Anolis sagrei: one gene and its partners. The protein of the gene in region 2 purifies or fractionates together with the protein of the main gene of each other region. This does not show direct contact. Links are inferred from orthologs where the notes say so. Each region holds a gene or a part of one and is shown on either strand. Other genes may lie near its edges. The genes, in order: STRN3, SLMAP, STK26 and STK24.

What was found.
Region 1: the proteins of SLMAP (region 2) and STRN3 purify together in Homo sapiens (affinity purification with mass spectrometry; 5 studies listed by BioGRID and IntAct, with this or other methods). This does not show direct contact. The link is inferred for Anolis sagrei from reciprocal best matches to the Homo sapiens genes SLMAP and STRN3.
Region 3: the proteins of SLMAP (region 2) and STK26 purify together in Homo sapiens (affinity purification with mass spectrometry; 5 studies listed by BioGRID and IntAct, with this or other methods). This does not show direct contact. The link is inferred for Anolis sagrei from reciprocal best matches to the Homo sapiens genes SLMAP and STK26.
Region 4: the proteins of SLMAP (region 2) and STK24 purify together in Homo sapiens (affinity purification with mass spectrometry; 6 studies listed by BioGRID and IntAct, with this or other methods). This does not show direct contact. The link is inferred for Anolis sagrei from reciprocal best matches to the Homo sapiens genes SLMAP and STK24.

The regions. Positions count from the first base shown.
Region 1 is NC_090021.1:298,719,172-298,727,143, forward strand, and holds the start of STRN3 (striatin-3), read right to left. Parts: upstream 3,007-7,972; 5' UTR 2,771-3,006; coding exon 2,423-2,770; intron 1-2,422. Other genes in the region: AP4S1 (AP-4 complex subunit sigma-1), read left to right, coding at 3,375-3,379. UniProt on the Homo sapiens protein: Calmodulin-binding scaffolding protein which is the center of the striatin-interacting phosphatase and kinase (STRIPAK) complexes.
Region 2 is NC_090022.1:57,663,144-57,670,675, forward strand, and holds the start of SLMAP (sarcolemmal membrane-associated protein), read right to left. Parts: upstream 3,010-7,532; 5' UTR 2,917-3,009; intron 2,666-2,916; 5' UTR 1,721-2,665; coding exon 1,523-1,720; intron 1-1,522. UniProt on the Homo sapiens protein: Associates with the striatin-interacting phosphatase and kinase (STRIPAK) core complex, forming the extended (SIKE1:SLMAP)STRIPAK complex.
Region 3 is NC_090030.1:23,304,070-23,310,946, forward strand, and holds the start of STK26 (serine/threonine-protein kinase 26), read left to right. Parts: upstream 1-3,858; 5' UTR 3,859-4,242; intron 4,243-6,877. UniProt on the Homo sapiens protein: Serine/threonine-protein kinase that acts as a mediator of cell growth. Modulates apoptosis. In association with STK24 negatively regulates Golgi reorientation in polarized cell migration upon RHO activation.
Region 4 is NC_090023.1:115,845,905-115,853,318, reverse strand, and holds the start of STK24 (serine/threonine-protein kinase 24), read right to left. Parts: upstream 3,007-7,414; 5' UTR 2,761-3,006; coding exon 2,716-2,760; intron 1-2,715. UniProt on the Homo sapiens protein: Serine/threonine-protein kinase that acts on both serine and threonine residues and promotes apoptosis in response to stress stimuli and caspase activation.

The DNA of each region.
Region 1 (7,972 bases), on a different chromosome or scaffold from region 2:
GCCTTTTAAAATCATAACTCCCATGATCCCATGCCATTGAACCCTGGCAGCTGAAATGGGTATCAAACTGCATTGATCCCACAGTGTAGATGCACTTTCAGAAATAATCGTATCCCATTTAATTTGTAATTGATCCACTCCTTTGGACTTCACACAAATCTACCATTTGCCATTATTCAGAAATAATAGCAAGGAGGAAGGAAATATGTGCTCTGAGTGATGATGGATGCACTCTCTCCAACGGTGACACTGGCCCCATCTGCGCTGCAGAGAATGCCGTTTGAAGCTGCATTATATGGTCAGTGTAGGCTCATACAATGCAGACTACACTGACCATAGCATGTCATTTCAAACAATATTATACAATCAGTGTAAAACTGCATTATGCAGTATGAAACTGCATTATATGGTCAGTGTAGGCTGCATTATATGAGCCTACACTGACTATATAATGCAGTTTCAAATGGCATTATATGGTCAGTGTAGGCTGCAATGAATGAACTTATACTGACCATATAATGCAGTTTCAAGTGGCATTATATCAGTCATGGGCAAACTTCGGTCCTCCAGGTGTTTGGACTTTAACTTCCACAAATCTTAACAGCCTACTGGCTGATAGCAATTGTTGGAGTTGAAATCCAAAACACTTGGAGGGTCAACGTTTGTCCATGCCTGCATTAAGTGGTCGGTTTAGGCTGCATGGCATGAGCCTACATTGACCATATCATGCAGCTTCAAATGGCAATATATGGTCAGTGTAGGCTGCATTAAATGAAGTTACACTGACCATACAATGAAGTTTCAAGTGGTATTATATGGTTAGTGTAGGCTGCATTGAATGAACTTACACTGACCATATAATGCAGTTTCAAATGGCATTATATGGTCAGTGTAGATCACATTAAATGAAGTTACACTGACCATACAATGAAGTTTCAAATGGTATTACATGGTAAGTGTAGGCTGCATTGAATGAAGTTAAACTGACCATAGAATGCAGTTTCAAAAGGCATTTATCAGGCATGGGCAAACTTTGGTCCTCCATTTGTTTTGGACTTTAACTACCACAATTCCTAACAGCCAACTGTGGGAGATGTTTGCCCATACCTGCATGGTATGGTCAGTGTATGAGTCTACACTGACCATATAATGCAGTTTCAAATGGCATCATAAGGTCAGCGTAGGCTACATTGAATGAGCTTACACTGACCATATAATGCAGTTTCAAACTGGATTCTGAGCAGTGTACAATGGGGTTAGTCAGTCAGTGTCACCGTTTGAGAATGCGGTTAGAGCACGTATTTCCTTCCTGCTGATTTTTGGAATCAGTGCTGTGGAATCAATGCACTTTGGCACCCATCTGCGCTGTCATTTATGAACAAATTCCTCTTGGGTTGTTGTTGGTTTTTTCGGGCTATATGGCCATGTTCTAGAGGTATTCTCTCCTGACGTTTCGCCTGCATCTATGGCAAGCATCCTCAGAGGTAGTGAAGATGCTTGCCATAGATTCAGGCAAAACGTCAGGAGAGAATGCCTCTAGAACTGTGGTTCTCAACCTGGGGTCCCCAGATGTTTTTGGCCTACAACTCCCAGAAATCCCAGCCAGTTGACTGGCTGTTAGGATTTCTGGGAGTTGAATCATAGAATCAAAGAGTTGGAAGAGACCTCATGGGCCATCCAGTCCAACCCCCTGCCAAGAAGCAGGAATATTGCATTCAAATCACCCCTGACAGATGGCCATCCAGCCTCTGTTTAAAAGCTTCCAAAGAAGGAGCCTCCACCACATTGGCTGTTAGGAATTGTGGGAGTTAAAGTCCAAAACAAATGGAGGACCAAAGTTTGCCCATGCCTGATAAATGCCTTTTAAAGGCCAAAAACATCTGGGGACCCCAGAATGAGAATCACTGCTCTAGAAGATGGCCATATAGCCCGAAAAAACCTACAACGACCCAGTGATTCCGGCCATGAAAGCCTTCACCATACATTAAATTCCTCCTGTCGGGATGACAGGTTTGGAGCGGCATTCGATGGAGCCGCTAGGCCGCGAAAGGCCTCGGAAAGGTTCGTCCATTTCCGGACAACAAATGGTCAGAAAGAGCGGCTCCGGGGAGGGGGGGGGGGGAGGATGTGGTGTGCCTCAGGTTTGGAGGCCGAGGAAGAACCGAGAGGAGAAGCGGGAACGAGAGGCCTTCACTTCTTGGACGGGGGCTCCTTTGACAGGCCCGGGCCCCGGCGGGCGCCATGCGAAGCAACCAAAATGGCTGCCCCGGGAAAGGAAGGCAGGCAGGGGGGACTGTGCCGAGTGACGGCGACGACGCCCCGCCACGCCCCGCCGCAACATACACACACACGTTAGCTGTAGTGCCCCCACGTCACGCCCCGAGAGCATGCCCCCTTCCCCTTTCCTTCCTTCCTTCCTTACCTGGAGCTCGGCCCTCTCCACTTCCCAGTGAGCGCGCTCCATCTCGAAGCGGGCCCACTCGTGCTGGATGTAGTGCAGGATCCCCGGGATGGTGTAGTGTTGAGGCCGGGACAGCTCCGACCCTCCTCCCCCTCCTCCGCCGGGGCCCACCGCTTCCTGAGGCGGCGCCGGGCCTTGAGGTGGCTGCTGCTGTTGCTGCTGAGGCGGCAAGCCCCCTCCAGGCCCCGCGCAGCCAGGGCCGAGCAGCGGAGAGTTGGCATTTCCCGCCGCGGGAGGCAAAGGCTGCTGCTGCTGTTGCTGAGGGGCCCTGGGCATGGTCCCTCCGCCGGCGCCGGGGTGCTCGTCCATTGTCCTCCCTCCCGCTCCTTTCCCCCCTTTCCCTTCCGCCTCGCTTGTTCCTTCAGAGGCGCAGTCTGCCAGGAAAGAGCCGGGGACTGGGTTTGGGTGAGAGCCGCGCGTCAGAGCAGCGCCCAAGGCGAGCCGCTGCTTCTGCCGCCGCCGGCCGCCATTACAGCCTCCGCTCCATCATTCTCAGCTCGCTCACTCACTCACCCACCCACACGGTGGGGAGGGGGGAGGAGGAGAGGAGGCTAGCAAGGCATGCTGGGAAAGAGCACCCGCCTTGCTCCGGAGTCGGCGTGATATGCGCCTGCGCGAGAGAGTGCGTCTGAGGGAAGCCGAGGCGAGGACCGCCGGCGTGCGCATGCGCGAGGGAGTCTGAGGGAAGCCGGGGCGAGGAACGCGGGCGTGCGCGTGCGCGAGGGTGTCCGAGGGAAGCCGAGGCTAGGTGCGCGAGTGTCTGAGGGAAGTGTGCGTGCGCATGCGCGACCGTGTCTGAGGAAAGCTGAGGAGAGAGAAAGGGGGAGAGGTTTGTTCGCTCGCTCGCTCTTCTTGGGCGGGTTTGTTTTCTTTCCAATGTCATTCTTTTCCTCGGCCTCTCACCTGTTCCTCTATGAGGTAAAAAAGGGGCACAGCTAGCCTTTATCGCAGTCATAGTCCAGGTGTTTTGGACTAACAGCTGACCATATAATGTAGGTATGGGCAAACTTCGGCCCAGGTGCGCGAGTGTCTGAGGGAAGCGTGCGTGCGCATGCGCGACCGTGTCTGAGGGAAGCTGAAGAGAGAAAAAGAGGGAGAGGTTGGCTCGCTCACTCTTCTTGGGCGGGTTTGTTTTCTTTTCAATCTCATTTTCCTCGGCCTCTCACCTGTTCCCCTATGAGGTAAAAAAAGGGACAAAGCTAGCCTTTATAGCAGGCATGGGCAAACTTGGCCCTCCAGGTGTTTTGGACTAACAGCTGACCATATAATGCAGAATATAATATAATATATTATAGAATACATAGTATATATTAATTTTATATATATATATATAATACAATATTATATATATATATATATATATATAATAAAAATAAATATATGACCATATAATGCAGAATATCTCTGTCTACGAACCCACGCGCTCTCTTCGTTCATCTGGAGAGGCCCTGCTCATGATCCCACCTGCGTCGCAAGCGCGTTTGGTGGGGACACGAGACAGGGCCTTTTCCGTGGTGGCCCCCCGACTCTGGAACACCCTCCCCAAAGATCTTAGACAGGCCCCTACATTGGCAGTCTTCAGAAAGAACTTGAAGACGGCTGTTCCGATGTGCCTTCCCCGAATAGGAAACCTCCAATACCAAGTCCCATAAGCATTTTATTAAAGCTAAGACCGCCGCACACTGGACTTGCCCATAAGCCTCATATTCCACCTGTCACATCAGCACTTTTAACTCTTGTACCCTTACTCTGGCCCGGCCCAGTTTTATTTTGTCTTAGTGGATTGTTCATTGCTTGTTGTTTAGATTGCTTTAATTGTTTTTAATTTGCCTAGGTTTTGTATTGTTGTATTGTGTGTTGAGGCCTTGGCCTTTGTAAGCCGCATCGAGTCCTTCGGGAGATGCTAGCGGTGTACAAATAAAGTTTAATAATAATAATAATAATATATTTCTACAGTGTAGATAAGGCATGGGCAAACTTCAGCCCTCCAGGTGTTTTGGACTTCAACTCCCACAATTCCTAACAGCTGGTAGAAGAAAGAAATACCAGCTGTTAGGAATTGTGGGAGTTTGAAGTCCAAAACACCTATAAAGACATGGTTTAAAATTGACTGGGTAATATATAAAATGTTTAGGACCAGAAGTATTCTGATTTCATATTTTTAGAACTGCTATATTTATATTTGTGCATATATAATGAGCTCTTTTGGAGATTCAAGACTAAACACAAATGTGTTAATGTTTCATGTGCACCTTGTACATATACTCTGTAGGCAATTAAAAAAAATGATTTTGTGCGAAGTGTACATTGAACCCTCAGAAAGCCAAAAATGTCATTGTCATTTCTGAATTTTGGAAGATTTCAGAATTCTAGATAAGAGTTACTCAACCTGCTAATGTTTTACACTTGTGAAGTGTTTCAAAGTGTTCAAAATGCTCCTTGATAGTTCAGTACACATTAGCCATTATCCTCCACACTGCAGACATCGATATGAAATCTGAACACGATAGTACAGGATTTGCATCTCTGACTCTTTGCCATTTTCTTGCTGCCCTTTTCAAAAAATCAAGTCAACTTGACATGAAACTCTATAGTGTAAAATCACTCACACTCTCACAGCTTCTGGAAGCTGTAAAGAGGACTTTACTTGACAAAGGAACTGCCTGAAACATGAGAAGTAGATGTACATTATCTGGGCATGTGCAGAGTACATTCCCCACATGAAGAAGGCCTATGTCAGATGTTAACCTTTGCAGAAAAGTGGAACATTGCTGGTATTTCAGTTATCAGTGCCTCTTAAATGTTTGAACTGGCATTATACCCAGGAACACACTAAATATGACCTGTTATCATTCAAAAGATAGAGAAATGGAAGAAACGATGGGCTGTTGAAAATAATTTTTGCACTGTTAGTAAGTATTTAAATGACTGCAGACATCTACTTTCCATGCTTCAGTCCAATTCCCTTCTAAAGTCTCTTGCTTATAGTAATTTCACTTGCAGTTCATCATCTTTCAGGGGAAGCTACTGTTTATTGCCCCTTTCGTTCACTTAAAATGGTTTCCCTGATGCTGGGTTATGCCAGTAAAAGATTCTTGGCATTCCAATTGCATTCCTCACATGTCTGTAACTGACTTCTTGGATGGACAAGAAGGCCACTTCTCTCACCACATGTACTGTACACTTATTCTCTCCCCCAGGACATGAAGCAGATTGATTCTACCACTGCTGTTGTTATTATTACACTGTCACCAAAAGCAGCAAGGCAGCAAATAGAAACAAGTACAGGCAGCCAGCTACTGGTATCAAATTACTACTATGAATATGAGATTAAATTAAGCGAGGCTAACCTCTCACTGAATAAGGAGGCAGGGCTTTCTGAGTAATCCCTCGAGGGTAGCTTTGGAAACTCCATCTGTAGAAACTCCATTGTGGAGTTGTTTAAAGCAGAGTTAGAGCTTCAGGGAACATGCCTTCTTTGGCCTTTCACAAATTACTCAGTCCTCTTTACAGGCTGGCTCTGTTTCTTAAAAGGAAAAGCTTGATAAACAAACTATATATATGTTGCACTTTATATTTTCACAGAAAGAGCACTTAAAAGTAGGTTTTCTTTAACAAATGGTTCTTTAACAAATGGACTATGGTAAAGTGTCCTTTCCTGCTTTAAATTATTGAGCATAAGGAAGTCTCAAAAGAAATTTTGCTTAAGGTAATTAGACATTTAAGGCCACAGTCTTGAAATCAATGTATAAACTAGAATTAAATATTGCAATTACTGTATATACTCGAGTATAAGCCTAGCTTTTCAGCCCTTTTTTTAGGCTGAAAAAGCTCCCCTCGGCTTATACTTGAGTCAAGGTTATTTATTATTTTACTCTGCTATTAGCATTATTTTTATTTCATGTATTATTCTACTGTATTATTATTACATTTACAGTATTTTACCCTATTATTATTACTACATTTATTATTTTACTTTATTATTATTGCATTTATTATTTTACTCTATTATTACATTTATTATTCTACTCTATTACTACTGTTATTATTGCATTTCCATTATTTTACTTTATTATTATAATTATTATTATATTTATTATTTCACTCTCTTTATTATTGTTGGAAGGATACGTAAGTACATTTACATTGAAGATATGTAATGATTTAATCAGAATTGGGCAGTCTTATCTCAAATTACAGTTTTATGTAAATATTAAAAAACATTTCACCTTCTGATGCCTCAATTAATGTAATTTTATTGGTATCTGTTTTTACTTTGAAATTTACCTGTAGTGGTTGCATTTCCCACCCTTGGCTTATACCCGAGTCAATATGTTTTCCCAGTTTTTTGTGGTAAAATTAGGTGCCTCGGCTTATATTCGGGTTGGATTATACTCGAGTATATACGGTATATTTATATTTTAGCCTCTTTGAACACTGCCTTAGCTTCCATGGTAGGAAAAAGGTGACCCAAATCTGGTGTTGTTGAATATAAGGTGCTTCAAAATTAAGAAGACCTCAACATTATAATATTGTTTACAATTTATTTTGTGATCTGTGTTTAAGCTATATCTCACCTTTCAGTCACTATTCTGTCTCATCACAGAAGTGTCATAACTAAAGCTGCTAGCAATGACCACAATCCATTTTGTGGGATTTTAAAGGTTCTCTTGTGATTTGGAGTTGGAGCTGTTATAAGGAAAGAGGGCCTCCAATGCGCTGTTAAAAGACCTTAATATCCTCTAAGCAATTTTTGTCTTTATCTATAAATTATAGAAATATTAAGTTATTTTTTCACACTGTTAGTGATTAATGTTCAGTAAGCTCTCTGTAAGGAAACCCAGCACTCATCTATAAATAAAATCAAGCATGAGGCAAATGATAGAGCACAAAAGAATTCAGAGTCAAAGTTGGCAGTGAATTACACTGTGGTGGTCACAGCTACTCATAGTTATGTGTAATCCAAATGCAGCAAGAAATATTATGGTACCATGATAGAGGTATTTGCACTTCGAAGCCAGTAGGCTTTCTTGAGTGAAATTGTCCCATCTGCCGTTTTCTAGCTCCTATTTAGCTGCTTGACAGTGTAGATTAGTATTTAAAATTAAGACTATTATTTTGTATTTATTAATCTGGCTATTTCTGGGTAGATGTGCATAGGATCGTAGTGCTTATGGGCTATTTTTGTCCCAGCACTACCTTGGACTCCTCCAGGCTATCATTTTCTAGCAAAGGGGGAGGGCTTAATTGCTTCTTCTGAAACATCCAGGGGCAGTGATTTACCTTTTGAAAAGATTCTTTAACACTAAAGCAAAGATGCATTTGCCCTGGACAGAAACGTACACACTACAAATTTATATAGAAATTACAACAGTTTCTATGAATTTGCTTCTTCAGAAGGACCTTTGGGATTATTGCTTGGCCAGATCAGAGGCAAGAATACAAAAAAAAAGTTTTCTGCCACTCTCAAATCTGTTTTGTTTTTATTTCCTGTTCCCCTCTTTCCTTCCC
Region 2 (7,532 bases):
TTTTTTTAAAAAAAACTCAAATCCTTCATAGCACCTGATATGATTACAGTCATTCAGAAAATACTGTTGAGGCTCTAAATTAGGTTAGTTGTCGTAGTTAGGCCCCAATGAAATCAATAAATGTGAAAAGCTAAATACAACTTATGTCAAACAAATAAGTAAGTAACCTAACATGGATCCAAATCCAATAATCATAGTTCAATATTGTACTGAGAAAAGCTTAAAACAGCTAGGACACCTTTATCCATATTTATTTAGTAGATGCCATTTATTAAATGTTAATTCTGAGTTTTAGTCTATGAGGCTCAAGCAAGGCCAACCAGTTACGCAGTCGTTCTTAACCTGTGGGTCCCCAGGATTTTGGGGATACTTCTAGTAAGTAATAATAATATTTATTTATTTATTTATTTATTTAAATCAGTGCTGGGCTGGGAAGAAATCCCTAAATGGATGGCCCTTGGTTTACAAGCTGGATGGCCACCTGCCAGGAGAGTTTTGATGGTGCCCTTCTACCTGGAAGAAGGGAGTTGGGCTAGATCAGTCGTTCTCAACCTGTGGGTCCCCAGATGTTTTGGCCTACAGCTCCCAGAAATCCTAACAGCTGGTAAACTGGCTGGGATTTCTGGGAGTTGTAGGCCAAAACACCTGGGGAGCCACAAGTTGAGAACCACTGGGCTGGTTGTCCCTTGGGGGTCCCCTCCAACTCTAGGATTTTTTGTGAAAATGAAGAATTGGTTAATATTTCTTTCTTCTATTAGTTAATATGAGAGACATTCAATGTTGTAGCTATTTTTTAAAAAAGGTTTTTGTCAAAAAAATTCCTAAAATCAGTAGATGTATGAATATTTCTTAAAGTTGAGGAAAATGATCCCCTATTATTTTGGGTCACTGTATAGACAATTCAAGGAGATAGTTCTTGCAGCTTTTATTTTTAAATGTTGTTCGTAAAATCTTTGAAATTTCCCCAAAATATTGTGGTTAAGTGAAATGTTCTGACACTTGATGGGCTAACAGTGGTAAATGTGTTCTACCATTGTAGCAAGTTCCTCCCCAACAGCTGTAAAAATGAGGGAGAAATGAGCCCCTGAAGTTCCCCCACTTGTGTAATTGCTAAAACTACAGGAATTGAACAGGAAGACATAGTTTTATAATTTTATTGTTTTTATTGCTTTTATGGTTTTTAATGTATTTGATGTAATTTTTTGCTTTTAACTGATGTATGTATTTATATACGGCATGTAATTGTTGCCGATTTGAACGCCGCCCTGAGTTGCCTTCGGGCTGAAATGGGCGGGAAAAAAGTGATGTAAATAAATAAATAATAAATAAACAAAAACTCCCATGAATCTACTAAAACTCCCAGGAATCCCAGCTGTTAAGATTTATGGGAGTTTACGTTTCAAGTTATGGGAGTTGAAGGCCAAAACATCTGGGGACCCACAGATTGAGAACCACTGCCCTAATGAAAACAAGGAAATGCAAAGTTTATTTTACTTCTCTTGGGGAATGTAGGGTGTCTTACCTTTCCTGTTTTCTGATCAAACCAGACAAGCGCATGGTTCCTAGACAGGACCTTGCAGTCAAAGGTGGCATTATTCTGAGCGGGTCGACATCGAGCCACTGAGCGCCCAATTTTGACAGGCTCATCCAGGTAGACATGGCGTTCTTGAAACGGGTGAGAGTTCGGGCGGCAAGTGAAGATAGCCAAGGCTGAAGGCATCGAGGAGAGATATGCGGTGCCACACCAACCAGGAAAGAAGAGAAACTCTTCTTGACCCAAGCCACCCTCCACAGTTGATGAGCAAAAACCTCGCAACACTTCACATTAAAGCAGGGCAAACATTATCTGCCAGTGAGATCTAACAACGCATACTTTCAGTGTGTGAACCAGTGCGGGCAATAATCCAGCAAAAAAGCCCCATTGTCTCCGGCAGCGAGTCTGCAAAGTTCCACTTTAATCCATGTCTGTCAATAATGAGGACAAGCATCTGAAGAGGAACAGAGCTTGTTAAATTAAGGTGGGGATGGCTATAACTCCAAGCGAATGACTCACGCGAAAATTCCTGTTTGGGATGTAATCGCGCTTTTCCCTTCCATCAACAGGGCCCAGGAGTTTCCCTCGCGCGGGGCAAGATTCAGGGAGTGGGGAAACGGGGGAAGGAAGGGCCAAAGGACTGCAAAACAACCCAACGTGAGAAAAAGGTGGTCAGCCCAGTCCAGGGGTGAGTCCACGGCTCGTCTTCCTCGGGCATCAAGGCAGAGTGAGGCACCTCAAGGCGAAGGGAGAAAGAAGCCTGTCCTCCTCCACCACCACCTCCTCCTCCTCCTCAGGCCCAGGCAGGAGGACTCAAAGGGCCGGCCGCCCAATGCTCCTGGGAGGCAGGGGAGCGCTCTTCCCGGCCAAGAGGGCTCCATGCACCTGGGAAGGCATCCCAGGCGGTGGCCTTTCCTGAGCAGGGAGGCAGATCTGACAGCAGGCGATGGCCAAGGGGAAGGAGAGGGGCCAGGGCACTGCAGGTGTCTCCTGCTGCTGCTGCTGCTGCTGCTGCTTCTTCTTCTTGGCTGAGGTGCAGGCCTGGCGCCTTCTTGCCTGCCTTCCCAACCTTCTCTCTCTCGCTTTCTGCCTCCCTCAGGAGTCCGTCGACGAGGAAAACTTTCCTCCGACCTGTGGGAAAAAGAAGAGAAGAGAAGCGTCAAAACAAACGCCGGGGAAGCTGAAGCGGGGAGGGGAGGCCGGCCCAACCGCCGCCTTCCCACTTCAGGAGAGAGCGAGCGAGCGAGGGAAGGAAAGAGGGCCGCCCTTCGCGGAAGGAAGGAAGGACAGCCAAGCGGGAAGCTCCCCTCCTTCTTCTCCTTCTCCTTCTCCTTCTCCTCCTCCCCTCCCTTCCCTGCCCTTCCCTCGCCAACCGCTCTTACCTTCCCAGCCGCAGTGGGAGCCGCCATACTGACTGGAAACCTACCCGGTATGGCAGCAGCAGCAGGAGGGAGGGAGGGAGGGGGAGGGGGAGGAGGGAGCCGAGCAGGGGGAGGAGCCGAAAGCAAAGCTCAGGGACGCCCGGGTTCCTCTGCGCAGGCGCAGAGCCGCAGCGCGCCCGGGCAGCGCATGCGCGGAAAGGGGACGCGAAGCCTGTGGCTTCCGGCTGGTTGCCCTGAACTAACCGGGCCGCTTCCGGATCTCTTCGGGAACACAAGAGGAGGTTGTTGCCCTAGTTGAAGTTCAGTGTTGTCCTTTATCCAGAGCGAGCGGGGAAAGGTCTTCTATGGGAAGGCGGGCAAAATAATGCTCTCGCTGTCCTCAGGGGAACTAAAAAGTTAATTCAGAATGTTTCAAAGATCAGGACTGCCCCACAGCCTGGATCCATGACACCTGTGTGGTGCCAAATGCCCTCACCGAAATCCCATCTGGTCTTGGAGGCCGAGCAGGGCCTGTCCTGGCTAGTTTTGGGGCCCTTCCACACAGCCCTATATCCCAGGATATCAACCCTAATGAGAGCAAATATGATTTGGGCCCCACCTACACTGATCATTTAATACAGTTTCAAGTCAGTATTGAAGAAAGTGGTTTCAATGTTCATATGATTACCTAGGAAAATCCTGGAACCAGTTGAAGGCCTGGGTGATGATTCCCCAAACCACAGAGCATTGATGCACATTAAGGGCTTTTAAAACATTTTTGTGAAGGTTTATTCTCTAGCCGCCACAGTTTGAAGCTAGCTTTGAACTGCATTAAATGGTCAGGGTAGATGAGGCCTTCGTTCATGGCATTTTCTCGGATTTTACAAATTAACCAGCCCTGGCTTTTGTAATTGTATGATATTGTATGATCTGTATTTTAGTGTATTTTGTATTAATGTATTATGATGCTATTAATTAATTATTTTGTAATAATTGTGCATTGTAATTGCTTATTGGTAATTTATGGATAATGTGTTAAGTCAATTGTTATATGTTGTATGGAACCACTGCTGTTTCTACTGTTTTTACTGTTTGTGAACCGCTGTGAGTCGCCTTCGGACTTGAGATACAGCAGTATATAAGCAAAGTAAATAAATAAGTAATAAATAATAAATATTATGTTTGCTATATTTGTGTTGAATTTTCTGCTGTTAGCCGCCCTGAGTCCCTCTTCAGAGGTCAAGAAGACCGGGTTATAAAAGCTCTAAATAAATAAATAAATTTCATTTTCGAAGGCACTAATTAACAAACCACAAAATTGCACATAAAAACACAATAAATGTGTCAGATTTCAAAACATGATAAAATCTTCCCCATGCCTTCTTCAGCATTTTACCATTTTCAGTAGGTCTCACTCCCAGTGGCCAAGTATTTTGCAAATAAAGGCCAATTCTTGTCCTTGCAATACTTTTATGCCACTTCATGATGTCAGCTGTAGACAATCTTTTTGTGTATAGAAATACAGTCACTGGATGTTGAAGAAAAAGCACCATGTCCGAGGGCAAATTTGAATAGTTTGGGGTTGAAAATGGTCCAAAAATCTGAAAACTTCAGGAGTCCTTCCACCCAGCCCTATATCCCAGAAAATCCCACATTATCGGAGTGTGGACTCGGATAACCTAGTTCAAAGCAGATATTGTGGGATTTTCTGTCTTGATATTCTGGGATATAGGGCTGTGTGGAAGGACCCCGAGTCCACACTGCCATATATTTAAGTTCAAAGCAGAGATTGTGGGGTTTTTTGCCTCTATATTCTGGGTTATATGGCTGTGTGGAAGGGACCTTGGATGGGAGGCTGCCAACTAACTCCAGGCTGTATTTCTGAGACAGGATCTGGGAAAACTAACACATAGGCCCCTTCCACACAGCTGAATAAAATCCCACGTTTTCTGATTTGAACTTGGATGTATGGCAGTGTGGAGTCATCAATAACTAGGCAGATAATCCACAATATCTGATTTGAACTGGCTTATCTGAGTCCACACTGCCATATATCCCAGTTCAAAACAGATATTGTGGGATTTTCCGCCATGATATTCTGGGATATATGGCTGTGTAGAAGGGCTCTAAGTGTCCCTTGCCTGTGAAAAAAATGCCTGTGTTCCTTCAAGATTTCTGGCAGTCATCATTGCATTAACATTGGATTTAAATCCAGTGCTGGCACCATCTAAAGTGGAAATTGATGGGCCTTTTTAGTCATGTTGTGATCGAGTTAACTTCAGCTTACGGTGGCCCCATTAATGAATCAGAATCATAGAGTTGGAAGAGATCCCAAGGGCCATCCAGTCCAATCCCATTCTGCCATGCAGGGAAAGCACAAACAAAGCACCCCCGACAGTTGGCCATTCAGCCTCTGCTTTAAAACCCCCAGAGAAGGACACTCCAGGCAGCATATTCCATTGCCAAGCAGCTCTTATCATCAGGTAGTTCCTCCTAATGTTTAAGAGGAATCTATTTTCCTTTGGTTTGAATTCATTGCTCCTTGTCTCCAGACTAGCAGAAAACAGGCCTGCCCCCTCCTCAGTGTGACATCTTTTCAGGCACTTAAATATGACAAACATATCTCCTCTCAATCTTCTCTTTTCCAAGCTAAACATATCCAGCTCCCTCATAGGGATTGGTTTCCAAGCCTTTGACTCTTTGCTTACCGTCTCTTTGAATCCATCCACCTGCAGTCTTTTCATACTATCCTCAACCAAGCTTTGTCATTTTTTTCCTAGTGTGTCATGTCTTCTCATGCTAAGTCCAAAATACAACAGTCTCAGTTTAGTCATCTTGGCTTTTTAGGAGAGTTTAGACCTGATTTATTATATAATTAATTCATTTGTCTTTTCAGCAGTTCACAGTATCCATAGAACCTTTCTCCGCCACATTTCAAATTATTTCATTTTTTTTCTTATCAGCTTTTGTTGCTTCTAGCGCTCACAACCATGCATAGAAATTGGAAACATGATGGCATGGGCAATTCTAATTTTAGTATTTAATAATATATCCTTACAATTCAGGATCTTATTTAGTTCATAATTTCCCTTCCAAGCCTTTGTAGCTCCCTACATGGTTTGGGTCCAGGTTACCTACAGGGTCACCTTCTTAGGACACTGAGGTCATCTGGTGGTCAGCTACTCCAACCAACCAGAACCTGACTGGCAACTGTCACCCAGAGGACCTTTTCATTGGCTGCCCCAAAACTCTGGAATGATCTGCCAGAGGACCAACAAATTTAAGAGCTGTCCAAATTTAAACCAAAATTAAAGGCCTATCTCTTCGGTCAGACCTACCCAGTCAACTTTGAAACATGAATTTTGGATTTGAATTCTATTACTGCTATATGTTCATCTTTGTACCCTGTATTTGATGTATGTTTTTATAATGGTGCATTTCTATTGATATATTTTATTATATGTATTTTATTTTCGTATGTTTTGACTGTTAACCTCAAGCTGTTAGGAGAACCGAGTAACATAAAATGTATTATTATTTGTCGTAGTAGTCTTCTTCTGATTTCTTGCCTACAGTCTCTGTTCTGATTGATGACTGGACGAAGTTATGGAAGATACTGACCTAGTTCAATGTTTTAATTATCTACTTTAAGATTATTTAAATCACCTATGGTCATTTTGTTTTGTTTTAGTTATCCTAGGTCCTCTTTATTTCAATAAATATTACTAGCATTAGATTTACTTTAGTGCTGCCCAGAAGTAAATTCCATTTAACTCTTTGACTGTTTACTCAGAAGTAGGTTTATGTTCATGGAACTGTTAAGTTCCATGAACATCACAGTAACTCACAGTTAAGAAAGTAAGATACTTGCCAATAGCCCTTTTTTTGCTGGAATTTTACAGGGTCTATAGAGACTGTTGTTCTTCTAAGCCTCCTTTGTTTTTCCACTACTAATTACATCATCTTTACCACATGGAATATATTAAGGAGAAGTGGAAGTACAACACAATGCTTCAGGCATTTCTCAATGTAGCACTTCTCATATTAACAACTCAAAGGAACTGTACAGCTATTTCATGTTTTTTTCCCCATAATGGATTTTCTGTTGTATTTATTTAATTCATATCCTGCCTTCCTTCAAATATGGGACCTAAAATGACTAAAACAAAACATATTTGAAAGTTGTCATGTGGAAAACAAATTTAATTAATTAATTAAATAGTTTTAAATCATTTTATCAGTAAAAATAAGAGCAGTTGAATCTGTGAATGCAAAATCTATGGCTAGTCCCAAGCAGAGTAGTCTCTTTCAATCAGTTGTTGAATGGTGAGACAACACATCCTATAGACATAATTGGTCTACTCTAATGAGTGTAAATATGATTTGGGCCCCACCTACACTGACAATTTAATACAGTTTCAAATCAGTATTGAAGAAAGTGGTTTCAATGTACATATGATTACCTAGGAAAATCCTGGAACCAGTTGAAGGCCTGGGTGATGATTCCCCAAACCACAGAGCATTGATGCACGTTAAGGGCTTTTAAAACATTTTTTGTGAAGGTTTATTCTCTAGCCACCACAGTTTGAAGCTAGCTTTGAACTGCATTAAATGGTCAGTATAGATGAGGCCTTAGT
Region 3 (6,877 bases), on a different chromosome or scaffold from region 2:
GCTCTCACAGTCAGGTTTTAAACAGAAGCTGGTTGGCCATCTGTCAGGGTGCTTTGAATGCAATTTTCCTACTTCTTGGCAGGGGGTTGGACTGGATGGCCCATGATATCTCTCCCAACTCTATGATTCTATGAGGAACTGCAAACTTGGCTTAAAAAGTTCGAGGACCCTTGCTTTAAAAGACATCATTTCCGTCCAAGCTAAATGCATTTGTTGTTGTTTCGATCCAAACTTCCCGCACAACAATATTCCTTATTCTTGGCCATTGATCCTCACCCCACTCATCCAGGCAGAACATTTTGTGGTCCTGTGCAAAGCCAGTTTTTGTTGATTTTACATTAAATAAAAAAGTCACTGTCAAGTATGTTTTGGGGTGGGTTTTATTTATTTTTTGCAATGGAGCCCAAATTTAATTGTAGTTGGCAACGTTTGGGGAACATTCAAAGGTATGCATTCATTGGGCTTCAGAGTGTCCATTGAGTCAAATCCCTATTTCAGGAGTTGAGTTTCGCCAATGTTTGGAATCCCTCCCTATGTTTATTCTCTTTTACAGTATTCCCATTCCGTTCAGTCCGCTTTCAAATCCTGAATTTCCTGCTGGCCTCCTTGGACCCACAGGCTAAAAATAGCCTAAATGCCATCCATTTCGGTGGAGTGGAAAATAACCAAATTGGACGGAGAACCGCAATATGTTTTCACTTACAGTACTGTCTTTCACTGCTGTGGATGCAGTCAAAAGATGTGTCACAGGGCGCATCCACACTGTAGATTTAATGCAGTTTGACAGCACTTGGACTGCCAGGCTCAATGCAGCGCAGAGAGGGATAAAGACCCCGACAAACTACAACTCTTGAGATTCCATAACATTGCAAAGTAAAAACAAAACAAAATACTGAAACCCCCTTTGGCCCACCCTGTATATATAAATATCTTTATTCATCCCCAGCTCTTCATTTAAACACGTATCCCCCTCCGGAATGCACCCCCAAATTGCCCTCACTTCTATTGACTCCCATTCTTAGGTCTCCTGTGTTCGTCCTCAAAAAAAACCCCACTTGAATCCTAGTTCCTCCTTCAGTTGCCACCGACACACCTCACTTGTGTCGTCAAAGGGACCCTATACATTTCTCATGGTTCCTTCTGAACCCCCAAATTTGCCCCATTATCCTCCTCAGCTCCATTTAATTCCACTACTTCCCCCCACCAACTCTCTTGACCACTCTTTGCTTTCTTCTCCTCCTTCCTTCTTATGGCTTCCTCCTCCTGTTCTCTCTCTACTTCTTTCCCTTTTCCTCTACTTATGGCTTCCTTCCTTTTCCTCCCTCCGCTCCTTCTTTCTTTCTTCTTCTTCTTCTTCTTCTTCTTCTGGCTTCCTCCTCCTGTTCTCTCTCTCCTTCCTTCCATTTTCTTCCTCTTATAGCTTCCTTCCTTCCTAACTCCTCTTTTCCACCTTCCTTCCTTCCTCCTCTTATGGCTTCCTTCCTCTCTCCTTCCTTCCTCCTCCTTCTTGTGTTCTCCTTTCTCCTTCCTCCTCTTCTCTCTCCTTGCTTCCTTCCTGCCTTCTTCCCCCTTCTTCTTCTTCTTGTGGTTTCCTCCCTCCTTCCGCCTCTTCGCTCTCTCTCCTTCCTACCTTGCTCTCCTTCCTTCTTCTTATGCTTTCCTTCCTCTTTCCTCCTCTTCTCTCTCCTTTCTTCCTTGCTCTCCTTCTTCCTCTTTTGGTTTCCTTGCTCCCTCCCTCCTCTTCTTCATACCCTTCTTCCCCTTCCTTCTTCTTCTTGTGGTTTTCTTCCTCTTCTCTCTCTCTCTTCTTCCTTCCTCTCCTTCCTTCTTCTTCTCTTCATGCTTTCCTTTCTTCTTCCTACTCTTCTCTCTCCTTCCCTCCTTGCTCTCCTTCCTCTTCTTCCTACCCTTCTCAGCCTTCCTTCTTATACTTTCCTTCCTCTTTTCTCTCCTTCCTTCCTTCCTTCCTTCCTTCCTTCCTCCTCTTATGGCTTCCTTCTTCCCTCCTCTTCTTCCTACCCTCCTTCCCATTCCTTCTTCTTCTTGTGGTTTCCTCTACCCTTCCTCCTCTTCGCTCTCTCTCCTTCCTTCCCTGCTCTCCTTCCTCCCCTTTCTTCTTCTTCTTCTTCTTATGGTTTCCTCCCTCCCTCCTCTTCTCTCTCCCTTCCTTGCTTTCCTTCCTCCCCTTATGGCTTCTTTCCTTCTTCTTCCTACCCTTCTCCCCCTTCCTTCTTATGGTTTCCTTCCTCTTCTCTCTCCTTCCTTCTGGCTTCCTTCTTTTTCTTCTTCCTACCCTTCTTCCCCCTTCCTTCTTCTTCTTATGGTCTTCTCTCTCCTTCCTTCTCTTATGGCTTCCTTCCTTCTTCTTCTCCTTCCTCCTCTTCTTCCCCCTTCCTTCTTATGGTTTTCTTCCTCCTTCCTCTTTTCTCTCCTTCCTTCTCTTATGGCTTCCTTCCTTCTTCTTCTTCTTCCTACCCTTTCCCCCCTTCCTTCTTCTTCTTATGGTTTCCTTCCTCCTCCCTCTTTTCTCTCCTTTCTTCTGGCTTCCTTCTTCTTCTTCTTCTTCCTGCCCTTCTTCCCCCTTCCTTCTTCTTCTTATGGTTTCCTTCCTCCTTCCTCTTCTCTCTCCTTCCTTCTCTTATGGCTTATTTCCTTCTTCTTCTTCCTAACCTTCTTCCCCCTTCCTTCCTCTTCTCTCTCCTTCCTTCCTTGCTCTCCTTCCTCCTCTTATGGCTCCCTTCTTCTTCCTATCCTTCTTCCCCTTCCTTCTTTTTCTTATGGTTTCCTTCCTCCTTCCTCTTCTCTCTCCTTCCTTCTGTTATGGCTTCCTTCCTTCTTTCTTCTTCCTACCCTTCTCTCCCTTCCTTCATCTTCTTATGGATTTCTTCCTCCCTCCTCTTCTCTCTCCTTCCTTCTGTTATGGCTTCCTTCCTTCTTCTTCCTACCCTTCTTCCCCCTTCCTTCTTCTTCTTATGCTTTCCTCCCTCCTTCCTCCACTTCTCTCTCCTTCCTTCCTTGCTCTCCTTCCTCTTCTTCCTACCCTTCTTTCCCTTCCTCCTTCTTCTTATGGTTTCCTTCCTCCCTCCTCTTCTCTCTCCTTTCTTCCTTGCTCTCCTTCATCCTCTTATGGCTTCCTTCTTCTCCTTCCTCCTCTTCTTCCCCCTTCCTTCATCTTCTTAAGGTTTCCTTCCTCCTTCCTCTTCTCTCTCCTTCCTTCTGTTATGGCTTCTTTCCTTCTTCTTCTCCTTCCTACCTTTTCCCCCCTTCCTTTCTTCCCTCCTTCCTCCTCTTCTCTCTCCTTCCTTCCTTCCTTGCTCTCTTTCCTCCTCTTCTTCCCCTTCCTTCTTCTTCTTATGGTTTCCTTCCTTCTTCCTCTTCTCTCTCTTTCCTTCTCTTATGGCTTCCTTCCTTCTTCTTCTTCCTACCCTTCTTGCCCCTTCCTTCTTCTTCTTATAGTTTCCTTCCTCTTCTCTTTCCTTCCTTCCTTGCTCTCCCCCCTTCCTTCTTCTTTGTATGGCTTCCTTCCTCCTTCCTCTTCTCTCTCCTTCCTTCTCTTATGGCTTCCTACCTTCTTCCTTCCTTCCTGGTCTCCTTCTTCCCTTTTCTTCTTCTTATAATGGTTTCCTCCCTCCTCTCTCCTTCCTCCTCTTATGGCTTCCTTCCTTCCTTCTTCTTCTTCCTACCCTTCTTCCCCTTCCTTCTTCTCCTTATGCTTTTCTCCCTCCTTCCTCCTCTTCTCTCTTCTTCCTTCTTTCCTTCTTGCTCTCCTTTCTCCTCTTCTTCCCCCTTCTTTCTTCCACTTATGCTTTCCTCCTTCCTCCTCTCTTTCCTCCTCCTTCTCCTCCTGGGCCTGCCCTCTTCAGGGGCGGAGGCTGAGGAGAAAGAGGCGAGGCCAAGAAGAGTGAGGCGAGGCGGCGAAGGGGGGAAAGGGAAGGAGAGAAGGCCGCCAGGAGGAAAGAACCAGGCCGGGCCTTCACTGCTGCTGCTTCACTTCACTTCTGCCGCCGCCTTTGGCCGAAGGAGGGAGGCGCAGAGAGAGGGGGAGCGCGCTACTCGAGGCCGGGGCTGAGGCGGAGGCCTAGGCCTCCCTCCCCTCCTTCCCTCCTTCTCTCCCTCCATGATGGCGTCCTCCTGAGACGGAGGAGGCCCTTCCTTCCGCGCCGCCCGGGGGAGCGGGTCATGGGCTTCGGCGCCGGAAGGAGACGAAGAAGAAGAAGAAGAGGCAAAGAGAGGCAGGCCCAGGTGAGGCCTGGCCTCGGGGATTGGGGGTTGTGTGTGGATTTGGGGTTGTGCTCCTCCCCATAGAAGAGTTGCCAAGTGGGCTTCTTGTGTGTGGATTTGGGGTTGTGCTCTTCCCCATAGAAGAGTTACTTGTGTGTGAATTTGGGGTTGTGCTCCTCCCCATACAAGAGTTGCCAAGTGGGTTTCTTGTGTGTGGATTTGGGGTTGTGTTCTTCCCCATAGAAGAGCTGCCAAGTGGGCTTCTTGTGTGTGGATTTGGGGTTGTGCTCTTCCCCATAGAAGAGTTACTTGTGTGTGGATTTGGGGTTGTGCTCCTCCCCATACAAGAGTTGCCAAGTGGGTTTCTTGTGTGTGGATTTGGGGTTGTGTTCTTCCCCATAGAAGAGCTGCCAAGTGGGCTTCTGGTGTGTGGATTTGGGGTTGTGTTCCTCCCCATAGAAGAGCTGCCAAGTGGGCTTCTTGTGTGTGGATTTGCGGTTGTGTTCTTCCCCATAGAAGAGCTGCCAAGTGGGCTTGTTGTGTGTGGATTTGGGGTTGTGTTCTTCCCCATAGAAGAGCTGCCAAGTGGGCTTCTTGTGTGTGGATTTGGGGTTGTGCTCTTCTCCATAGAAGAGTTACTTGTATGTGGATTTGGGGTTGTGTTCCTCCCCATAGAAGAGTTGCCAAGTGGGCGTCTTGTGTGTGGATTTGGGGTTGTGTTCCTCCCCATAGAAGAGTTGCCAAGTGGGCTTCTTGTGTGTGGATTTGGGGTTGTGCTCCTCCTATAGAAGAGTTGCCAAGGGGGCTTCTTGTGTGTGGATTTGGGGTTGTGTTCCTCCCCATAGAAGAGTTGACAAGTGGGCTTCTTGTGTGTGGATTTGGGGTTGTGTTCTTCCCCATAGAAGAGCTGCCAAGTGGGCTTCTTGTGTGTGGATTTGGGGTTGTGCTCCTCCCCATAGAAGAGTTGCCAAGTGGGCTTCTGGTGTGTGGATTTGGGGTTAGGGTTAGGGTTAGGGTTAGGGTTAGGTTGTACTCCTAACTCATTGGGTTAGGGTTAGGGTTAGGGTTAGGTTGTACTCCTAACTCATTGGAGAGTTACTAAGGGGGCTTCTTGTGTGTGTATTTGGGGTTGTGCTCCTCCCCATAGAAGAGTTGCCAAGTGGGCTTCTGGTGTGTGGATTTGGGGTTGTGTTCTTCCCCATAGAAGAGTTGCCAAGTGGGCTTCTGGTGTGTGGATTTGGGGTTTTACTCCTAACCCATTGGAGAGTTACTAATGGGGCTTCTTGTGTGTGGATTTGGGGTTGTGCTCTTCCCCATAGAAGAGTTATTAAGGGGGCTTCTTGTGTGTGGATTTGGTGTTGTGCTCCTCACCATAAAAGAGTTACTAAGGGGGCTTCTTGTGTGTGGATTTGGGGTTGTGCTCTTCCCCATAGAAGAGTTATTAAGGGGGCTTCTTGTGTGTGGATTTGGGGTTGTCCTCCTCCCCATAGAAGAGTTGCTAAGGAGGCTTCTTGTGTGTGGATTTGGGGTTGTGTTCCTCACTTTTTCCCACAGGCCAGGGATTCAGGAGGCTGTGGATGAGGGGTTGTGTTCTTCCCCATAGAAGAGTTGCCAAGTGGGCTTCTTGTGTGTGGATTTGGGGTTTGCTTGCCCATAGGCTAGGGGTTCAAGGGGACTGTGGGTGAGGGGTTGTGTTCTTCCCCATAGAAGAGTTACTAAGGGGTCTTGTGTGTGGATTTGGGGTTGTGTTCCTCCCCTTTTCCCATAGGCCAGGGGTTCAGGGGGCTGTGGATGAGGGGTTCTGTTCTTCCCCATAGAGGAGTTGCTAAAGGGGCTCCTTGTGTGTGGATTTGGGGTTGTGTTCCTCACCTTTACCCATAGGCCAGGGATTTAGGGGGCTGTAGATGAGGGGTTCTGTTCCTCCCCATTGACTAGTGACTGTAGGTTGGGGTTTTTCCCCATAGAAGAGTTGCTAAGGGGTGTATGTGTGGATGAGGGATTGTGTTCCTCCCCATAGAAAAGTTACTAAGGGAATTTCTTGTGTGTGGATTTGGGGTTGTGTTCCTCTCCTTCTCTATAGGCCGAGGGTTCAGGGAGACTGGGGATGAGGGGTTGTGCTCTTCCCCATAGATTAGTGTCTGAGGAGGCTTCCTGTGTGTGGATTTGGGATTGTGTTGCTCTCCTTCCCCATAGGCCAGGACTTCAGTCGAACTGTGGATGAGGGGTTGTGTTCTTCCCCATAGAAGAGTTGCTGAGGGCGCTTCTTGTGTGTGAATGAGGGGTTGTGTTCCTCTCCTTCCCCATAGGCTAGGGATTCATGGGGATTGTGGATGAGGGATTGTGTTCCTCCCCATAGAAGAGTTGCTAAGGGGGCTTCTTGTGTGTGGATTTGGGGTTGTGTTCCTCTCCTTCCCTATATGCTGAGGATTCAGGGGGACTGGGGATGAGGGGTTGTGCTCTTCTCCATAGACTAGTGACTGGGGAAGCTTCCTGTGTGTGGATTTGGGATTGTGTTGCTCTCCTTCCCCATAGGCCAGGGGTTCAGAAGAACTGTGGGTGAGGGGTTGTGTTCTTCCCCATAGAAGAGTTGCTGATGGGGCTTCTTGTGTGTGGATGAGGGGTTGTGTTCCTCTCCTTCCCCATAGGTTAGGGATTC
Region 4 (7,414 bases), on a different chromosome or scaffold from region 2:
AACCCCAGAACCCTCAGTCGACTTATCAACTATCAATGTGAGTTGATAGTTTGACACCATTCTCTGAGTGGTGTCAAAAGGTGAGAGTTTAGTCTGTCCCAAGAGGAAATTTTAAAAACCGCACAGGCCCCTCTCTCTCCACATTTTTGAAATACCTGGGTGGGGAGATACATCTCAAGTGGCATTGGTGCTTTCCCCCTCTCATAGAATGAACTTCAACTTATTCATGGGTCATGTCAAAATCCATCATTTTGGTCCCAAAACCTGCCCTTAACTTATAAACTATTAGTATATTCAGCAACGAAATCGACTTACAGACTATGAGTATACAGGCAGTCCGCAAATTACAAATAACGTAGGTTCTGTAGGTGTGTTCTCTAGTTGAATTTGTATGTAAGTTGGAACAGCTACATTTTTAAGTGTAACTCCAGTGAGAGAGAGAAAGAGAAAGAGAGAACGAGGTTTGGATGACATAGGGAAGGGTTAACACCCCTCTGGTGCTTGTTTTACTGTCTGTGCCCCTGTACAGAAGATTTCACCTCACTTTCTGTCCCTGTGATTTGGAAAAAATTGGCTTGTTGAGGAAACAAGGATTAGTGATAAAATTTCAGTGGAGACATATTTTCCCCATGATAGGAGTGAATTTCCCTTCCGAAGGGTATATTTCTTTTACTTCCTGTTGTTTCATGCTCGTTTGCAACTATGAGTTGTTTGTAACTTGAAGCTGCCTGTATGCAGCAATATCTTTCTGATCCAGGGTATGGGAGGGAGAAATTAACTAAAGACTGGATCTTGAATTCTGTGTGTGTGTGTTTGAGAATGGAAGTGGGGAAGAGCTATGCACAACTATGGGTGAATAAGAAGGGGGAGGTTTTTATGAAGACAGCAGGCTGTTGTTCTGGGGGGCAAACCGAGTACCCACTGCTGTTATAAATACTGTGGGTCAAATGTATTTTCTCTACTTATATCACAGGATATATACACCAAAATTGGATTACACTGTCCCAAGGATTTCAAAAGCTTTCACTTGCTGTTAACCAGTGAACTTGGCCCCTAGCTAATGCTATGCACAGGGGCTGTCAGACAGGAAGTAATGAACTCTGCAGCAGGAAGTTCTTAAGCAAGGATGCATCTACACTGCACAATTAATGCAATCTGACACTATCTTAGCTGCCACGGCTCAATGCTTTGGAATTATGAATGCTGTGGTAATACAAGACCTTTAGCCATCTCTGCCAAAGAGTGTTGGTGTCCCACCAAACCACAATTCCCAGCATCTCAAAGCATTAAGACACAGCAGTTAAAATAGTGCCAAACTATATCAATTCCATGGTCTAGATTCACCCTAAGCCTTTCATTTAAGGAAATGCAATGAAAATTATCAGTCCTTCAGTTCACGCTTTTCTTAGAGCTAGTATGCAGTATTGGAACTCTCTGCCCCAAACTGTGGTGGAGGCTCTTTCTTTGGTGGATTTTAAACAGAGGCTGGATGGCCATTTATTGAGGTGCTTTGAATGTGATTTTCCTGCTTCTTGGCAAGGGGTTGGACTGGATGGCCTACGAGGTCTCTTCCAACACTATGATTCTAGCAGTTCAATATTCAGAACAAGACTTGTTCTGTTCTATGAAGATGCCTGGTTAACTCCACCAAAGATAAATATATTTCCATATACTCCCTGAAGCTTGCACCCTGAATATGCCTCCCCTTCATTCCCCCACAGGCATGCCTTAGGAAGAAAAGGAAGCACACTTCTCCACAGCCCAGCTCCCCTTTCTATTACCTCCCTTTGTGCATGTCCAATCTTTCCAGCCAAAACAAGACCAAGGGGCTGCTTTCTGCTGCTGCAGCCGCTGAAGGACAGGCAGAAGAAATGTTACCACTAGGTCACTATAACTGGTGTGTGCACCCACCTCTTCCTCTTTGCTAGGCCAGAACATGGAGGGAGGCTGTCCTATCTATCCTTTAAAGCAGGCATGGGCAAACTCCAGCCCTCCAGGTGTTTTGTGCTTCAACTCCCACAATTCCGAATTGTGGGTGTTGAAGTACAAAACACCTGGAGGGCTGAAGTTTGCCCATGCCTGCTTTAAAACAATCCCACCCAATGCACTCCCATCCACAACAAATATTGCCTCAAGGACACCATCTCAGTGTTGACTTGCCCGAAATGGACAGCAAGATAGATAATACAAGGAAGAAAAAGGTAAACAAGAAGCCTGTACATCTATCCAACAAGGGCAAAGGGAGGGAGGCACTTCAGATTATTATTGTTAGTATTATAATCCAGGACACGCTGAAGGTCAACTCTTCTGAACTGCAGGGGTTTTGTTTAGGGCTGGATAGTGCATGAAAAACCCAATTACTGTGCAAGCCCTTAGGAGAGAGAAGCAGGGTGGAAATGGGATATAATCGATGTTAGCAGGGGAGGGAGGGGGGAGAGGGGAGGGATGGCGACCCCTAACTCAAGGGAGAGGAAACCCACAGGCAAAGTATGCACACACACAGAGACACAAATGCCGCTTGGCTTCCTGGGGAAAGAGTGGTCACTCCGTGGTGCCTCTATTGCAAGCCCCGCCGCCTCCTCCTCGAGCCTTGAAGGCCCTTCCCAAGGAGAGAGCCTGCCTGGAGAGGAGCCTCCTCAGGAGAAGGGGCTGCGCAGGAGGCGAGCGCGCATGCGCGGCGGGGAAAACGGCGAAAGGCCCCTTCCTCAGGCTCACCTGCATCCCCGGCAGGCCCGGCTGCTGCACCGGCGAGTGGGCCATGATGACGGCGGAAGCCCCGCCGCCGCCGCCGCCTCCTCTTCCTCCGCCACCGCTGCTGCTCCCGCTGCCTCTCCAGCGCCGTGGCCTTCGCTTGAGGAGGAGGAGGAGGAGGAGGAGGAAGGGGAGGAGGAGGAATCACCTCAGCCCCATCGCCTCCCTCCCCCGCCCCCAGCAGCGCCCCACAGAGAGAGACAGAGCGCGAGGGAGAGAGGCGGGCATGCGCAGAGCAAGAAGGGGAGGGGTTTTCGCCACCCGGCCTTCTACGTCACGGTTGGGGCGGGGCCACGTAGACCCCGCCTCCCGAGTGCGTCACCAAGCGAGTCGGTTTCTCTCTTTCTCATTCCTCCCCTCCCACTACGGAATGCAGAGTCGTAGTCTCGCGAGATCTCTCACTTTTGTAGGCAAAGGGTATTGCTGCCACTCTTAACTAGAGAGAGGGAGGCGGGCATGCGCAGAGGAGGAGAGCAGCTTTTGCCACCCGGCATTACGTCACGGAAGGGGCGGGGCCGTGTAGACCCCGCCTCCCGAGTGCGTCACCAAGCCAGTCGCTTTCTCTCTCGCTCTTTCTCATCTCCACCCCACCACTATGGAATCCCGGGAGTCGTAGTCTCGCGAGGTCTCCCACTTTAGTACCCAGACGGTATTGCTGCCACTCTTAATTGCTCTGGGCGGGCATGCGCAGAGGAAGAGAAGGGGAGGAGCTTTTGCCACCCCGCCTCCTACGTCACGGGCGGGGCGGGGGCCGTGTAGACCCCGCCTCCTCAGTGCGTCACCACGACGGTCGCTTTCTCTCTCTCTCTCTTTCTCATCCCCCCTCCATGGATTCCCGGGAGTCGTAGTCTCGCGAGGTCTTCCACTTTTGTAGGCAAAGGGTATTGCTGCCACTCTAAACCGCCCTGACTCAAGGCTGTGGAAGCATTGGAGTTGTAGGAGAGCCCCCGGGGGAGCAATGGGTTAAACCTTTGTGCCGGCAGGACTGCTGAACGACAGGTCAGGGGTTCGAATCCGGGGAGAGAGGGTTGAGCTCCCTCTGTCAGCTCCAGCTCCTCATGTGAGGATATGAGAGAAGCCTCCCACAAGGATGGTAAAAAACATCAAAACATCTGGGCGTCCCCTGGGCAATGTCCTTTGCAGACGGCCAATTCTCTCTCACCAAAAGCGACTTGCAGTTTCTCAAGTCGCTCCTGACGCGAAAAACCCCTCAGCCTTCCCTGCCAATGAGTGCTACAGTATTACCGCTCCCATGATCCCACAGCATTGCAAGTGGTGCCAAGCTGCTTTTATTCTAGGTTGCTGTGAGTTTTACGGGCTGCGTGGCCATGTTCCAGAAGATGTTTCGCCTGCATCTATGGCAGGCATCCTCAGAGGTTGTGAGGTCCTCTGAGGATGCCTGCCATAGATGCAGGCGAAACGTCAGGAGAGAATGCTTCTGGAAGATGGCCATACAGCCCGGAAAACACAGCAACCCAGTGGTTCCAGCCATGAAAGCCTTCAACAATACATTGAATCATAGAGTTGGAAGAGACCTCGTGGGCCATCCAGTCCAACCCCCTGCCAAGAAGCAGGAAAATCGCATTCAAAGCACCCCCAACAGATGGCCATCCAGCCTCTGTTTAAAAGCCTTCGAAGAGGGAGACTCCACCACACTCCAGGGCAGAGAGTTCCGCTGCATAACAGCTCTCCCAGTCAGGAAGTAATGTTCAGGTGGACTCTCTTTTCTTGTAGTTTGAAGCCATTTTTCCGCATCCTAGTCTCCAGGGCAGCAGAAAACAAGCTTGCTCCCTCCTCCCTGTGACTTCCTCTCACATATTTATACATAGCTCTCATGTTTCCTCTCAGCCTTCTCTTCTTCAGGCTAAACATGCCCAGCTCCTTAAGCTGCTTCTCATAGGGCTTGTACTCCAGACCTTCCAGACATTGCTTTCTTTCTAAATGATGTTGCAAGCTCACATCGTCCCAACAATCTTGTACTTTTAGTATTTCTTCTGTGGGAAATTGCCCAGTGTGGAATACATCTCACGATGTTAAAACAGTGGATGTGGTTCCTAATGAGAAATGCTGCATTATCAGAGGGCCACAGTTTGGTGATGCCTGGTGTAGATTGAGGGAAGTCATGTTACCCCTCTATTCTGCTTTGGGCAGAAACACCTGGAATACTGTGTCCAATTCTGGACACCACAATTCAAGAGAGATATTGACAAGGAAGGTGTCCAGAGGATGGTGACTAAAATGATCAAAGGCCTGGAGACCATGTCCTATGAGGAGCATCTTAAAGATCTGGGTCTGTTTAGCCTGCAATAGAGAAAGTTAAGAGGAGACATGATAGCCAAGTATAAATATGGTTTTTTTTGGTCGTGTCAGGAGTGACTTGAGAAGCTGCAAGTCGCTTCTGTTGTGAGAGAATTGGCCGTCTGCAAGGACGTTCCCCAGGGGACGCCCGGATGATTTGATGTTTTATCATCCTTGTGGGAGGCTTCTCTCGTGTCCCTGCATGAGGAGCTGGAGCTGATAGAGGTAGCTCATCCGCCTCTCCCCGGATTCGAACCTGCGACCTGTCGGGTCTTCAGTCCTGCCGGCACAGGGGTTTAACCCACTGTGCCACCGGGGGCTCCTAGTATAAATATGTGAAAGGATACCATAAGGAAGAGGGAGCAGGCTTGTTTTCTGCTGCCCTGGAGAAGAACTTTCTGACCATGAAAGCTGTTCAGCAGTGGGTCTTTGCCTCAGAGTGTGGTAGAAGCTCCTTCGTAGGCTTTTAAGCCGAGGCTGGATGGCCATCCATTAGGGGTGCTTTGATTGGGCTTTCCCTGCATGTCAGAGCGCTGGACAGGGGAGTCTCTTTCAACTCTATGATTCTAATGGGGTTGTTGTATGCCTTCAAGTCATTATTGGCTTATGGAGACCCAAAGGTAAATCTATCACAAGATTTTTGAACTTAAAAGGTCCAAGTGTGGATTCACACCTGTTTTCCAATGCCATAGTCCAGTGTTCAAACCATTATGCCACACTGGCTTCCACTTTACAAATCTGCCATAGTAAATAAGGGACAGCGAGTTCCAGTTTAATTGTGTATTCCATGCCGCCGCAATGATTTTTAATGTTTGGCGCTTAAATACAAGAACAAGAAAAGAAACACATCAAAGTAAATCACACCAGTGTCTTACATAAACTAGGATGCAAATATCCCTTCAGTTATCTATTTGTTGCTGTGAATGGGTTAATGGTAAATAACAATGAAAGCAAAACAAATAATTTTAGAAAATATAATCTCAATAGGATTCTATGTATTTGCATAGATAACAAGAAAATCTTGGATTTGTTCATAACAATCCTTCCCTAGGCAATCACTGAATTCCTTTCGTGGGATGATCAATTATCTTAAGTTTCTGCGTTAACCTAGTTACTGTGTCACACCCAGAGCCAAACTCTTCAACAATTAAAATAATTGGTGTTGATCAAACTCATTGCAAAAACGTAACGACACCAAAGGCAGTCTAATTAGGCCAAGGAAGAATTTCATAGCCACATCTTTCTTCACTGCTTTTCTGCGGCCGGTTGCTAGGATCATCCATCTCCATATTCTAGAAAATATGTGCCACTGAGTAGCAATTATGCCATTAATGTTAGACTCGACGTTGTCATCTTAAATATAAACACCCCATTAAATACAGTGTTTAGTACACTGATGTGTATCACGTCACTGAGATGTATTATTTTACTTTTTTTTCAAAATGTATTAAATTATGCTCCTTTATTGTTTCATGATCATACATTAGAAGCCCCAGCCACAAAAGGGCATTCTTGTGATTGCACAATATCATGGTTAGTAGCTAAAGATTTTCCCCTGACATGAAGTCTAATCATGTCCAACTCTGGGGGTTGGTGCTCATCTCCATTTCTAAGCTGAACAGCTGGCGTTGTTCATAGACACCTCCAAGGTCATGTGGATGGCATGACTGCATGGAGCGCCATTACATTCCCGCCAGAGTGGTACCTATTGATCTACTCACATTTGTATGTTTTTGAACTGTTAGGTTGGTGGTTCAAATCCACTCCCCGGATTTGAAGTGCCAACCTTTCGGTCGGCAAGTTCAGCAGCTCAGTGGTTTATCCTGCTGTGCCACTGGGGGTTGTCACTTCAAACCAATGTTCAACTCATTTCTAGGCTGTCCTTCTCCATTAAAGGGGTGGGGAGAGAGAGACTCTCATATTTAGGCAGCAGAAAGCGTTTCAAAAAAAATGTCAATGTAGTGCAATAGACCAACCGCATCAGCAAGTTTGAGACATGTACATATTCTTGTGGTCATCATTTTTCTTCACTTCCCCACCCACAAGCTGCTGGCTATCCCTCTTCCAATAAACAGCCAGAGGGGACCTGCAAAGCTGTAACTTCCCACTTTCTCCCCATCTTCTTCATTTTCCAAATAATTCGAGTAACCGCAGTTTCACAGGTAATTCCAGGCACTAACAAGGTCTTCCCTTGTTGATCAAGTATTTCCTTAAGTTTTTTGCAAGGCTTTGAATTGGATTATATGAGCCTACATTGCCAGATAATCTGGGACCCTGGGATATAGAGCAGTGTAGATCCAGCCAAAAGCAGCACTTATAGCAGGCATGGGCAAACTTTGGCCCTCCAGGTGTTTTGGACTTCAAC